Linked DNA regions of Lytechinus pictus. The protein of the gene in region 2 interacts with the protein of the main gene of each other region in a pairwise test. Links are inferred from orthologs where the notes say so. Each region holds a gene or a part of one and is shown on either strand. Other genes may lie near its edges.

Region 1 (7,900 bases), on a different chromosome or scaffold from region 2:
ATTTTGACCTTTTTAATAGAAAAATCAAATTTTATGGTAGATTTTGACATGATATCCAGAAAATATTTCACTATTCTTTCTTTAGATTCCTTTTTTGTGGTCTGTACGCCACTGTGAACAGGATTCTTTGCTGCAGCAGCGTGAAGAGTAAAAAAAAACGAGGGGCGCAGTATAGCACATGTGCTAAAAAGCTGCTTTATATACAAGTCCCGAGCGAAGCGAGCGAGAAAAAAAATCACCTTTTCATGAGAATCTAACTTTGAGCTATTTTTTGACATTATATTCAGTAAATAAAATCATATCCTACACTTTTCCATTGCTTTCCTTTCCTCCTTTTTTTCTTGTCTGTAGAACTATTTTGGGCCATGGCCCAACCCTTCCATATACGCAGTGCTGTGCGGTTGGGGTCCGGGGCGGAGCCCCCGGAACTTCTTGATATCAAAGCCATTTAAACCTCGCAGATTGCCGCTATTTCAATCAAATCGCGGGCATATAGTTTTTATTCAACCCAGTTGCGTAATGAAGCAACATATTTTGAGGGGGCAAAACATAGCAATGTGGGAAAAATTTGTAAAAAGTCGCCAGCGTGCAAAGCGAGCTGGAAAAAAAAATTGCCTATTGAAATCAAATTCTTATTATGTGATAGATTTTTCCATTATATTCAGCAAATAACACATTTCATTGTTTCCATTCATTTCATTATACGTTGTCTCCTATAATTTCTTTTATTTCCTCTTTGGTGTGGAACCAAGACCCCCCCCCCCCCCCCCTTCGCGCCTGTATGCCAGCGATTGAACGTGATTGTACGGGGGGGGGGCGTTATAGAGCCATTTGAATGTTATAAATAAAGAACCCCTACTGCGTGGGGTCTGGGGCAAAGCCCCGGTAGCTTATTTGCATATAATTTAGCAACCTTATAGAGCAATGTTGTATGCAGTCCATTTTTCTTCCCGCTTTTTAATTTCAATCATCGGCAGCCCGGTCGTGTTATTATTTTTGTTCGTGTCCCTTTTCTTTGTTTTCCACTTTAGTTTTTGACTAATTACATTCTATCTTCGCTTCCCGCTATTGTTTGCCATTTTATCATATTTTAATTTGTTCCCACCGTGCTATTGCATTACATAGGCCTATTTCGAAATGATTTGTTCTTTCTCAAATGTTCTTCTTTGGTACATTTTCCGGCTTTCCTTCCTTTTCCATTTAAAAAAATGTTTTTTCTTCGTTTTCTTTTAATTTTCCCTTTACTTTTCCCTTTCCTCCTTTCTTTTTCCCTTTCCTTCCCCTTTCCCTCTCTTTCTCCCTCTTTTTTTCTTTTTCCCGCTTTTCTTTTATTTTCCCGGTGAAATCCGCCAGGGGGGGGGGGGGCAACTTGCCCCCCCGCCTGTTACGCCACTGGTGAAGATCAATTCACATGTGCCTCAGATTCGATGTGTCAATATGAGAAAGGCGGGGAGGAAGGTATCTTATTAGTAATTCATGTTTGATCTTGAAATCTTTTCTGGATTTGTTGTTAAAGGTCAAGTCCACCCCAGAAAAATGTTGATTTGAATAAATAAAGAAAAATCAAACAAGCATTATGCTGAAAATTTCATCAAAATCGGATGTAAAATAAGAAAGTTATGACATTTTAAAATTTCGCTTATTTTTCACAAAACAGTGATATGAACAGCTCAGTGATATGCAAATGAGACAGTCTATAATGTCCCTCACTCACTTTTTCTTTTGTTTTTATTGTTTGAATTATAAACTATTTTTCATTTTTTACAGATTTGACAAATTAAGGACCAACTTGATTGAACCATATAGTATTAAACAATGCTAATTGCACATGTTCAGGGAGGAATTAACCGTTGTTTCACACGACAACAGGGAGAAAATGGGAATATTTCATATTTCACATAATAAAATACAAAAGAAATAGTGAATGAATGATGTCATCAGTCTCCTCATTTGCATACCGACAAGGATGTAAATATAACTGTTTTGTAAAATTAAGCGAAATTTTGAAATGTCATAACTTTCTTATTTTACATCCGATTTTGATGAAATTTTCTGTGTTATGCTTGTTGGATTTTTCTCTTTTTATTCAAATCAACTTTTTGTTGGGGTGGACTTGTCCTTTAAGTTACAATCAACTTTTTACAAATTTTACATAGACGTCACATTCATATGTCTTTGTCAATAGATTGACAGGTCTGCAGTTGCAACACATCATGATGTGTAATTAGTAAATGTTTGTGGGATACCATTTTTTGCCTAAATAATAATTGGAAGATATTTGCCTAGGAGACACGAATTTTTTAGTTCTGGGATGTCACAAAAATCGACCCAACCCGATGGACTTACCCTTATGAAATATTATATGGGATATTATACCCGTCTTAGATTATGAATAATGGAAATAAATCCATACAAGTTTTTGTTTATTTTTCCATATTGTTTTATTCAATCATTCATAGCTGCAATGATATTTTCTTATGAATACGAAATTCATATATGCATTGATTTATTTTTCTTTACTCTTTAAAAAAAATATTCTGCTTTTGAGTGAGATATGGGCTTATTGCTGGAAAAAACACAAATACATAAAAAAAAATGAAATTCATACCAACTCATTGACCTGGCTTTCAATATGTAATTCTTTTCAATGTTTGAGTGGGTGAATTGATGATGATGATGATGATGATGATGATGAAGACGATGATGACCATCAATGATTTCTTATCATACATTAATGGTGAGCGGAAAGATTCCAAAAGAATACTATAGACATAAATACAAAATTGATATTAATTTATATTTCTTTTTAAAATAAAATAAATATCTTGCATGTTTTTATTGCAATGCAATCCATGCTGAGTCATGGGGGTGAAAATTTATATTAATAGTACATGTGATTTTCTTAAAATAAGAATCAGTCGCAATTTGAAATGATTTCGAACTTGGCCCCAAATGCGGCAATACTTTGATTATGCCAGGAAACTTCCCATTTCCCTAATTATGCCGTGTAGTATAATGGTTAGTAATACTATCATGTCAGAGATTTTATTTGAGTATAAGAATGTAAGAACGGCCTAAGTCCATCTCTTGGTCAAATTGAGATACGTTGGTAATTAATAGGGGGCTATACTATGAGCCTATAATATGCTTGCATGATATGTTCTGGAATTCCTCCCGAAAGTGTCCAAAATTGATTTAAAACAAAAAGTGAGCACGATCCTCAGACATAAACAAAACTAATGTTGTTTTCTTAATTTACTCAAAATGAACTGTCATGGACCTGGATCGTTATCACAATCGTATACACATTTTCGTTGTTATTAAAAGAAATATATACATAAATAAACAGAGAGAGAGAAATTTAAAAAATGAGATGATTGATCATTATAATGGAGAATTTGATCATGGGGGTGATGGATTGTGTATTCAGGAAGATCGGAAGAAGTGGGAAGAATACAGAGATCGAGGAAGGGTAAATGAATGAATGAGAGTCGGGTCAAAATGATCATTACAGCAAGGGGAAAACATCGAGATATACAGTGCGTATCAAAAAAAGTTTACACTTTGAAAAAATCCTGTAAAATTATAAATTTGTAATATCCTGAAGATTTTTCCACATTTTAAAATTGGTACAGATCCATTTAAGCAAATGACGATATAACTGTCGAAAATTATTTCCGCTTGAGTGAGCACCACTTACTTTTGAAAATTTAGTGAAAAATGATTTGCGCAGAACTTTGAAATAGTTGTGCAAATAAAAGTAGACCTTAATCATGAAGAAAACGTGGAATTTAGCTAGTAAAATTTATTTGAAGACATCTTTTACCTTTTTAAACTTGTTTCCTTGCCCAAAACACTTCGAGGAGTGCATTGTGCCCCACCCCACTCCCCCACACACCGAGGCCATCGAGATGATATTTGCTTTACATTGAGCTGTGATTTACATGAAATGGCTTAGGCTTGATTTTAATTTTGTTAATCATTGTCAAGCTTGGGAAAAGTGTGGAGAAACAAGTATTAAATGAAAAATGAAATGTAAACCCACTTTAAATGATAAAAACTTAGTGAAAAAATGCTGGAGATGTCTGATATAAACTTTTATGTCCTCAGATCCAGCTCGCACAAAAAAGGGTAAAGGTTGTGCTTACTAAATGTTGAAATTTCAATTTGGGTGTCAAAATTGTTGCAAAATGCTTGAATGTATCCGTTTTATTTCAATTGACTAAAAGAGCAAGGGAAATGTATGAGAGATTTTTCGCAGGGTAAGTTTGATTTCGCCCTTTCCCCTTGACACAGCGTGAAAACGAGCATTTCTGCGCAAACAGATTTCTGCGAGCTTTACAAAAATGGACAGTGCTCACTCAAGTGTAACATTCTGTCAAAACTTTTACTTTCATTGGATAGATGAGACCCAAACCCAAGATTATATGTGAAAAGTTTACCCACATGTTGTATATTTTTGAATTCCCCGGGCTTTTTTAAAGTGTAAACTTTTTTTTTGATACGCACTGTAGAACCCAGCGTTGTATCACGGACAAAACAGCTTATAACAATTATTTTTTGTATTATTTCTGTATAAAAGACAAAATGTACATGTTTGAAAATCAATCAGCCAGTGACAGTTTTTGTCCTTAATTGCTGGAAAATAAACCTCAGTCAAATCGACCAAAGAAGTTTCGGCAACTCACATCGAGAACTTTTGTACCGTGTCTCCGAGGGAGAGATAGCGATCTTGTATTTTCGCTTGATGCGAAGCGAATGCATTTATTTGGACGAGATGATCAAAGTCTATTTTATTGTTTACATTTTCTCGTTTCGCTCACGCGCACGCGATCACGATTACAATGTGAGCTTGTGACCCTTAATACGTCGACTTAATTTGTTTCTTCTAACAATTTAGGAGTTTACACGCCTAGAGTACAATGTTGGGGAGCATCTGGAACTTTGTAAAGCGTCACAGAAGGAAATTCTTCGTGCTTGGTGCATTTGCAGGAGGTATGTTTTAACTTTTATTTTTTTGTTTTCTGAATTTCGATATGTGAATTTTTGTGATGACGTTCCCACTCGTTTATTTTTGTGTGAGTGACTCTGGTCTGGACAACTTTGCCAGCAATAAATCAAAATGTGCGTACGGTACCGTATGTGGAACATGCCATCCGATGTGTGCACACACAAATGGATATTACCAGTTTAGTGTGATATGCACGCAATTGAATAAGTGGTTTCACGCTTATCCAGCGGGTTAAAGCTAATCCCAACACCAAGGCAGTTTGGACCATGCTTTGAATCTACCCACTCCTAGACCTAGTACCAATGAGGTCCAAACATTAACATATATGTATGGACCTCATAGGCGACATTACCCAAATTATGGGTTGGACAATGCTGTTCTGATTTCCAACCCAAGACTTTGGTAAATGTACACCTTAATACAAGTTAGAGTTATCCGATATACCTTTCATTCGGACGGCAAACCTTTATTTAGTTGTAAAAATAGTTGAAATTAAAATCGATTATTGTTAAACTTACATTTCAGGCCCTTTTTGTTGATTTTCGGTGAGCGTTCCACACAGCTGCAACGAGTGATCAACTCCGAAGTGATACGCGTACTGGTCAGCTGATCGGTCAGGTGATCGGTTGGTTATCTTTTTGTCAGACGTTCATAATTTATGTTAAGCGTATCAATCTTCAGTATCTTGATTTCAAAGCTAGGTACGCTACTCTAGCGCGAGAGGGCGCGATTTTCGCGTCATCATTTTCGCGTACGAAAATGGCGACAAGCTGCTTCGGGAGCCGGTGCGAGCAATAACGGCAAGCCCTACTTGAGTCTCCTGTCTAGGATAGTAAACGTATATCAATGGGAATGAAAACGATAACATCATCTTCCCAATGCATTCAGCTATACTGCACGGTTAGCTCTTGCGACGGAGGATCGAGATCGGAACAAAAATTGCACTAAAACAGTCTGTAAGTACAGTTTATGCATCAAATCATCATTATATGTTATTTTCATGGAATTATCAGACATATTACGCTAAAAATACATATGCTACTCGAAAATTGAAGTCGTAAGCTTTCATTTCTTACCTCATTCATGGCAGCATTTCTTGCCACCATTTGCCACGGACGAATGTTAAACGCCCTTGCTATTTGTTTCGTGGGATTTTTTTTTAAGTTTGGCGACGCGTTTCGCGGGCTCATTTATGGCGGCTGCTAGGGTTTTTGGTTGCCCGCGGTGTGTAGTCCTGCGCATTGGAATTTGTGTAGCAGACCGTCTACCGTGATATGTCTGGTATTTCTTTGATTTAAAAAAACTTTTTCTTTTTTATAAATTAGGAATTGAAAACCAGACACAAATGTAGAAATCAGAAATATATCCCACACTGACACACATTAATTTTGATTGAATAAAATATTGAAAAAAAATGGCAAATGACGCAACAACTTTCTGAATCTTCTCGAACCTAATTTTAGCCTTTACTTTAGGTAATTTACTTTAGTCTTGATTTATTATTTGATGATTATATTCTGTTGAAAATTCATGTAACATGATTTCTTTTGGCCTAATCAATCTTTACATTTTTATTATTTTAAAAATGAATGGCCTAGATCTAATTTAATTCATTATCATTTTAATTTTCTTTTGTTTTCATATTTTTATTTTCATTCAGATTAATTTCTTATCTCCATTTGAGCATGGCAATACTTACTGATCTGAAGTCGAGGGGCCCAACAATGAACAGACTTGGGCTGAGCCGTCGAATATCTGTGGTTCCAAGAAAGCGTGATGGAAATGCCGCCTTAAAAAAACCAACCCCACCTCTGCCTCTGGGCTTTGTTCTTGGCGATCCTGCATTCCATTCAGACTGCAACTTTAAGCAGGAATTGTTCTACCAACTACTTAATTATTCACAAATGTGAATTGCAGCTTTTAAATTGACAAGAAAGAAACAATTGATTTATCTCACCCCCCCCCCAACTGTCTTCTAACATTTTCTATCACCCCAAACTAACACTTTTTTCTTGTATGTCTGTTTACATATTTTTATTTAGACTTTATGTAATTTTTTCATGATTTATTTAAGAAGTATGAGCGAAAAAAAAACAATTTGGCACATGCAGTAGAGAAGAGAAGGAACATAGTGTTTCAAAAGGATACACATACAGATCTGAATGTTAAAATAAATTTAAAAAAGAAATGACAAATCCACACTGACACATGAAAGTATTCATTTTATTTTTTTTCCTTGTTGGCATTGGTTACATTAATTAACTCCACATAAAAATATAAATTGGGATATTTTAACAGTATTAATGAAGTTGCTCAATAAAATTTAAAATTAGGTATTCTCATTGGAGGTAATGGTTGATACAGATGGGTGGGTGGACCTGCAGCCACTAGCGTACCTATGGGGGGGGGGCAGACTGCCCCCCCGACGAGTCACAACCCATGCAAGGGACGTATCCCTGCCCCCCCCTGATGAGCCACCGGTGGCCCCCTCCTTTGAAGTTTAAGACCTTTTTTTTTCTGGTGCGAAATGTACTTAATAACCTGTTGAGGACCTTTTTTTTTTTTTGGCTTGTAATTTTTTTTTCTGGTACGAAATCCTTTATTTGTGGTTGAAGACTTTTTTGCTTGTCAAATTTTTGGGCGGACGATTTTGCCCCCCCCCCCTGTGAAAAATCCTAGGTACGCTACTGCCTGCAGCTCTATTGTTTTATTAGATTTTCATTTTTTATTGCTGGGGGGGGGGGGTATTATGTAGAGATGAAGCCAAATGATCTTATGAGGCAAGATTCAGTGTACAGCTCAATATGATGCATGTAAAGTGATTTATTAAACTTTTGAAATATCAATTAAGAACTGGAATGATGAATGATATGAATATAAGAAATATAT
Region 2 (7,440 bases):
ATAGTAGGAACGCGCTTTTGCCTGAATGGGTGATCCAAAATGGTGAAATATCCAATAAATCGGCAATATACATGATATAGAGGGGGAGGGGGGTGACTTAGACAGCCCATGAGAGGGCTAGGGTTCAATGTGCCAGTGCTTATTTATATGTAGCTGGTAGAACAAACTCTACTCTTTCCTCTCTAAGTGGTTTCAAATCAATAAAATGGGGTGTACAACAAAGCACAAACGATTTTTGGCCTCAATGTTGGGTCCAAAATTGTGAATTTTCAAATAAATTGGCAATATTAAGCAACCCCCCCCCCCCCCGAGAGGGGTAGGCTTCGATGTGCCACTTTGTATGTAGCTGGTAGAACAAAGCCTATATACTCTTTCCTCTCCAAGTGGTTTCAAAGCAATCAAAGTGACTGTACTGTATAGCAGAAATGCCTGTTTTTGCTTCAATGGGTACTCCAAAAAACAGATATTTTTCCAACAAATAGGCAATATACAACATGATATAGCCAAGGGCAAGGGGGGGGGGTGACTTCGACACCCCCACCCCATGAGAGGGTCAGGCCTTGATGTGCCAACATTTTGTTTTATGTAGCTGATAGAGAAAAGCCTACTCTTAACTCTCCAAGTGGTTAAAAAGCGGAGATAATTGCATTTAAATTTTATTAAACTATACATTATACATATTATACATGTACAGTACATGTTATACGTATTAGTCTATGGAAATGCATACAAAAAGCGACATTTCTGAAATTGAAGTATTCAAGTTTGATACCTTATAAATTTGCTAAGAAGAATGATACAGAGTTGGAATTTCATCCACATGATAATAGTATGTCAATAAAGTTTTCTGGAACATTTCAAGGTAATTCATTCATTTTTCTCAGAATTATGTAAAATCATGTATTTGCTAAATTTTCAATTTTTGGGAAAAAATGACAAAAAATGCAGTTTTCTACTTAAAATCTCAGCCAAATGACCTACTTATCCCCTATAAATAGTACCAAATTGTAGAAAATTTATTTGTCTTTCATATGACACTAATTTTGTGGCAATGGAATATTTATGTCAAAATCTATGTACGAAAATTCAAATGTTCTGAAAATTCGGCGGCCATTTTGAAAAAAGCACCCTCACTGGTTAATTTTCAGGATACAGCCTGGTTACCTCATATATTCATATTCAGCGTAAAAAACTGGTCTAGAAGCACTATATGAAAATTTCTCCTTTTTCTTGTGGCACCTTGCTCAATTATAACCCGGACTAGATGTACCTTTTAGTTGTATTTCTTTTTTTTAATAATTTTTATCTTGAACATCATGACAAAATATATATGGTCAATATGCTCTTTAATTAATTTCCTAATCTCATATATTTTTCATATATTTTGGAGGGGACTAGGACACACAATACAAAAAGGGGAAATCACTGAAAATAACCAGAGGAAGAAAAAAAGAAATTAAGAGAGGGGGAGAGAATGAAAGAAAAAAAATAAGCCCTTGTCTGCGCACACATGCATACACATAACTGCATGATTCTAAAGAAAGAAGATACGCAACCACAAACTTTACACATGCAATAAATAGAAAGATATTGATTAAAAAATCTGACTCAAAATGGTGGAAAAATAATGAATATTGGCATTTCATGTGACAGCCTCAAAATGCAGCCTTTCTCATCAAAATTTATGGGTGCGCAGACATGGGGCACCATGGCATTGTTTTGTTCAATCTGAAAATGACTGGCCGAGGTTTTTCCATATTTTTATGAGATTTTTGGCACACTTACTCATAGAATATAAGGAACTTCTGAAACTGAATTGTTTTGTGGAATTCTTATTAAATCTTAACTTTAATTATAACTTAAGTGCGCAGACATGTTTACTTTAACTTAAGTTTTAGTTTATCTTAATACAGCCTACACTGCACTGGTTTTAAATTATTGATTCTGAGATTGATAAAAACAAGGAAAAGGAGTGAATCATTAGACCAAAAGCTTCAGTCTCTGTATTTTGGTTGTTCCGCTGAACTGCGTTGGCTCACTCACCAATAGTCATGTGAAAGGGGATGATAGTAAAATGTCAGAAATTGCTGAATAAATCCCCAGAAACGATGGTTATTCCTGTCTAGTGAATCATTTGCTTATAATAAAGAATAGGTGCCTTTAATCTATATCCTACCTCGAACGATGTTCGTGCAGGCTCCACTCCACTTCCGCTACACTACGCTCCACCTACCTTCGGTAAGTGGAGCGTAGTGTAGCGGTAGTGAAGTGGAGTGGAGCCTGCACGAACATCGCTCGAGGTACCTTTATCCTAGACCAAAAGCTTCAGTCTCTGTATTTTGGTTGTTCCGCTGAACTGCGTTGGCTCACTCAAGTCAAGGTGAATGGGGATTAGGCCCTATAGTAAAATGTCAGAAATTGTTGAATAAATCCCCAGAAACGACAGTTATTCCTGTCTACCTTTATCCTAGCTAAGTTAGATCCATTTCATTTATTCTAAAAATTGAAACAACAACTTCTACAAAATAGATTTAAAAAATTAGACGGTCCATGATCGATGAAGCATGATGACTGAGAGTGAGAACAGAGAAGTGAGTGGAAAGACAATGATTTTGAATTATTGAAAATGGCCTGTTGTTGGACAATCGACACAGTTCAGGCTGGCTACCATAGCTAAAGTCCACATTTTTTTATATATATATGCAATATAGTGTTAGGAGCTGTGTTGAAATTAAGAAGAAAAATAATACCGTGATTTTTTTTGTTAATAAAGAGAGAATTACTCACCCGTTATGCAGTATGAAAGCACACGAAATGTCTTTTCCACTTGAGAAACAACGTCAGGATTTTCGACGACCCACTTTCGATACCAAGCACATGTTTCTTGGTATCTTAAACACATTTTACCAAGATATTTCATACTGATGCATGCTTGCTCCTGTGTATTCAATGGCGAAGCTGACATTTTTAATCAATAACTCTTTACGAGCAGAGTTTTTCCGAGACATCAACCTAATCAACAGGCAAATTACGCGAAGAAGATTGTAGTCCCGTTGGTTGTAAAATTTGTTGGTTTTATTGCATATTTGGCCGGGGTAGTAAAATCGGATGGTGGGGCGCCATCTCTTGCTCATGCTACTCCTAGTCTCCTACAAACAAACCCAACAAATAATTCTGAGACCAACTTGATTTGGCTTTGTTTATTTGTTTTGTTTGGTTGTTTGTTATTCTACCTCCGTAATGATAGCAATTTTTTTCCAAGATACAAAAGTATGCATTCGGACCATATAGTGACACATAATACCTTTAATTTGATTCTATATGATTCACGCAAAACAATTGCAAACGGATTTTTATTTGAAGCAATAGTGTCTCCAAACGAATTTTCATGGAATGTGATTAAACGATTTATATATTTATTCAAATAAAACATTACAAAATAATGTTTGATTGACTGAATAGGGAACTGGTGACGATGCTGTTGCCGCTAAAGGTCATAATAATCCAATTTTCGTAGCGTACCTTCCACTTTACTCAAGGCGATGATGATGATGAGGAGGAGGAAGAGGAGGAAGAAGAGGAGGAGGAGGAGGATGATGATGATTATGATGATGATGATGAGGAGGAGGAGGAGGAGGAGGAGGATGATGATGATGATGAGGAGGAGGAGGATGATGATGATGAGGAGGAGGAGGAGGAAGAGGAGGAGGAGGAGGAGGATGATGATGAGGAGGAGGAGGAGGAGGAAGAGGAGGAGGAGGAGGAGGATGATGATGAGGAGGAGGAGGAGGAGGAAGAGGAGGAGGAGGATGATGATGATGATGATGATGATGATGATGATGGTGGTGATGGTGGTGGTGGTGGATGATGATGATGATGAGGAGGAGGAAGAGGAGAAGGAGGAGGATGATGATGATGATGGTGGTGGTGGTGGTGGTGGATGATGATGATGATGATGTTTTTTTCACCCATAACAGGGGCATTTATTTTCATACAAAATCAATATCACATACAAAACTCTGAAATACAATTACAAAATAACTGGCAAAATATACATTTCTTACTTTCCCTTTTTCTTTAGATCCTTATCAATGTCTAATTTTTCAATTCCTTCATCATATATATATGATGATAACGATGATAATGGTGGTTGTGGTGGTATCAGAAATGAATCTGTTCGGATACTCTGAAAATACCATCATTCTGTAAATTTGGCTTGGATGGGTAACCAATTATTTTTTTTTCTTCGTTTTTTTTTCTTTACAGGAAGTGAGTATGATACTATTCTGTCATGAACTGTATGGATCTCGGGGGCAATGAGTTACTGAGGAATTATATTAATGTGGCAATTTGAAGCAGGACGGTTGGAGAAACAATGAAATGAATTCTTAAAAATATATATGTTCACATGTTTATAAAAAAATATATATATACGAGTGTACACATTGAGCATAATTATCGACAAAATCATGTAAACATTCAAAATCGGATTTGAAACGGATGTATATAAAATTTACTTAATATTTTTTTGTTCTTGAAGTACGAGTATTAGATTTGTTTTGGGATAGATATGCTGACACGATCACTCGACAGGTCCTCGTTATAAGAAGCCTATGGTTCGGGGCAACGAGAGTCCTTGATAAAACAGAATAGAAGCATGCAGAGCCCTGAGAACGATTTTTTTTTTTGCTGGGGGTGCTGAAGTAAATTTAAATAGCAAAAAAAAAGCCGTTTTGGTGCCAAGAAATTTGACAAGCAAACAAAAATAAATAAAGAAAGGTTTTCACTCCAAAAGGTGCGTAATTTCCCTATATTTTTCAAAATTTACCATACCAGATTTTCTAGGGGTGCTGCCTATGGAGAGTAATACACTGTAAAAACTGTGGTGTTAAAACTGACACCAGTTGGTGTTAATAGAGGACCACACCCTGAGGTGTTAAAATTACACCCTAGAGAATGAACATAACACCAAAGAGTGTAAATGTAACAGCCAAAGGTGTTGTAATAACACCTATGGGTGTAAAACTAACACCACTAATTTAACACCGGTGTAAAACAACTGGTGTGGTCCTCTATGTACACCGGTTAACACCACAGTTTTTGCTGTGTACACGCAGCACCCCCTGGGAAAATCTTGGAGGTGCCTCAGCACCCCCGCTTCCCAGGGCCATGCATAGGAAAGTGTATTCCATACAAATCAATAAATCTATCATTATTTATATATTCTTATATTTCTTTTTATATATGGCTTTTTTTTAGTTTTATATTCTTATTTGATTTTCAAATCTTGCTTTTAATTCACTTATTTTGCGGACGGCCAATTTGTCATCGAGAGACAAACCTGAACAAATTCATTACGCTTGATGTTTTGAATATTTACACTGTCGGTTTTTAGATCCATTCAAAGTTATGAAGAATTTGCATGAAAAAGCGACTAAATCCACTTTTGCTCATTCTTCATAAATCAACATTTCTAATTTCACCCAAATCTATGTTTCCCTTCAGGAAATTACTATACTATGTTTAAGAGTCATCAATATTGGTAACGAAAAAAAAAAAGCTGCAGATGTCTTTTATTTTATATGATTCTTTTATATTTATAATTTTTATGGATTTAGTCCTTTTTGAATGAAAACTAATTTTAATTTGTTGCTATGTCAGGCAAATCTTCTACCTGTAACTAGTATAGAGACCAGTCAACCATTTCCAATCTATAAACTAAGGGTAGGGGAAGAGATAAGTACTATAATGTTCATGTTAAACCTTCTGTACATTTGTTACCCCTCTGCATGGACTTTTCATGCAAAAAGGGATTATATCCAAAATATATACACAAATTCATATCAAATAAAAGACATCTGCAGGATTTTTAAACTATCATTTTTATCATCAACCTATTGCGCATACATTCGTAATTCCGAAGCTTCGTTATTCCGAAGGTTCGGATATTCCGAAGGTTCATTATTCCGAAGGTTCGTATTTCCGAAGGTTCGTAATTCCGAAGGTTCGTTAATCCGAAAACGAAATGAGGTTCGTAATTCCGAAGGTTCGTTAGTCCGAAAACTAATGATTAACGAACCTTATTTCGTTTTCGGACTAACAAACCTTCGGAACAACGAACCTTATTTCGTTTTCGGATTAACGAACCTTCGGAATAACGCCACAAATGTTCGGATTAACGAACCCTTTTACGTTTTCGGATTAACGAACATCGAGGTATAGGCAATTTACGTGTTTCGGAATTACGAACCGTCGGAATAAAGAACCTTCGGAATTATGAACCTTCGGAATTACGAAGTGATATATTGATGGCTCATAAATGTAGGAAGATAACTTCCTGAATTGTAATATAGATTTGGGTGGAAAAAAATGGTTTATGAAGATTCAGCAAAGGTAGATTTAATTCGTTTTGCATAAACAATGTTTCAGATTTAGTCTGTTTTGCGTGGAAAAAGTAAATTTCATGTCCATTCTTAATAAAGTTTTTGAATCTTTTGGGAGTTGCACTTTAGTCAGTTTGATGCACAAGCGGTGAATGTCCGTCTAAACCTTCCAAAAATACCAAATGTTGAAAAATGGATTAAGTCCCTTTTACCTGTTACCTCTTCATAATATGTTTAAGCGCATTTATTGATAAATTACAATGAAAAGTTTTTCAACTGCGAATCCCCTGAAATGTTAAAAAAGGATTACGTGAAATAAATAAGCAGATCTAACAAATTCGGTATTAGAGATTATGTGAATAGGCGTAATTGCGTTGGAAAAAGCCACGCACGTCATATTAAGATAAAAATAATGAATGAACTAAAAATAATTTCTTGCATTAACGAGAGCTGAATACTAAATAGGGGAAAAATATAAAAAAAGGAAAAGGAAAAATTATCAATGTATCTTGGATTAATTGAACGATAGTTGTGTAATTGGAGGTTGGGGATTAGAACATAAATTGAACAGTTTGCAGTAAAAAAAAAAAGGAAAAATAAAATAAAATATGCACATTAGCATAACCATGTAATAAGGTTCCCCGGTTTTTTTCTGCATGTACTTTATTCACATTCGTTCCAAGCCATGGGGGATTTCAACCAATGATTAAAATATCAGTAGTCCATTGACAGATCCAGGGGCCGAAGGGGCTGCACCACCCCCCCCCCCCCCTATGGCGGCGCGAAAATGGAAGAACATGAAATTTGGAAGAAAAAAAAGAAAGAAAGAAAAGGGGAAAGAAAAGAAAAAAATGAGTAGATGAAAAATCAGCGATTAAAAAGGTCTCTTTTAAATCAATATTAAAAATTTCTGCTCACGCTTCGTGTTCAAATTGTTTATGGAGTTACACAGTGCACATTTTTATATTAATAAAGCGCTTAAAATCTTTAGTTTTGAGATTGGAATAAAAACAAAATCGGCTCGAGCTTCGCGCTGGCATTATTTATTTAGTGAAGA

Evidence for each region. The genes of interacting proteins can lie anywhere in the genome.
Region 1: the proteins of peroxisomal membrane protein PEX16-like (region 2) and peroxisomal biogenesis factor 3-like interact in binary tests that used the Homo sapiens proteins (3 or more experiments, as listed by UniProt). The link is inferred for Lytechinus pictus from reciprocal best matches to the Homo sapiens genes PEX16 and PEX3.

What each region holds. Positions count from the first base shown.
Region 1 is NC_087261.1:10,885,598-10,893,497, reverse strand, and holds the start of peroxisomal biogenesis factor 3-like, read left to right. Parts: upstream 1-4,839; 5' UTR 4,840-4,922; coding exon 4,923-4,995; intron 4,996-7,900. UniProt on the Homo sapiens protein: Involved in peroxisome biosynthesis and integrity. Assembles membrane vesicles before the matrix proteins are translocated. As a docking factor for PEX19, is necessary for the import of peroxisomal membrane proteins in the peroxisomes.
Region 2 is NC_087253.1:15,132,798-15,140,237, reverse strand, and holds the start of peroxisomal membrane protein PEX16-like, read right to left. Parts: upstream 3,099-7,440; 5' UTR 2,966-3,098; coding exon 2,788-2,965; intron 1-2,787. UniProt on the Homo sapiens protein: Required for peroxisome membrane biogenesis. May play a role in early stages of peroxisome assembly. Can recruit other peroxisomal proteins, such as PEX3 and PMP34, to de novo peroxisomes derived from the endoplasmic reticulum (ER).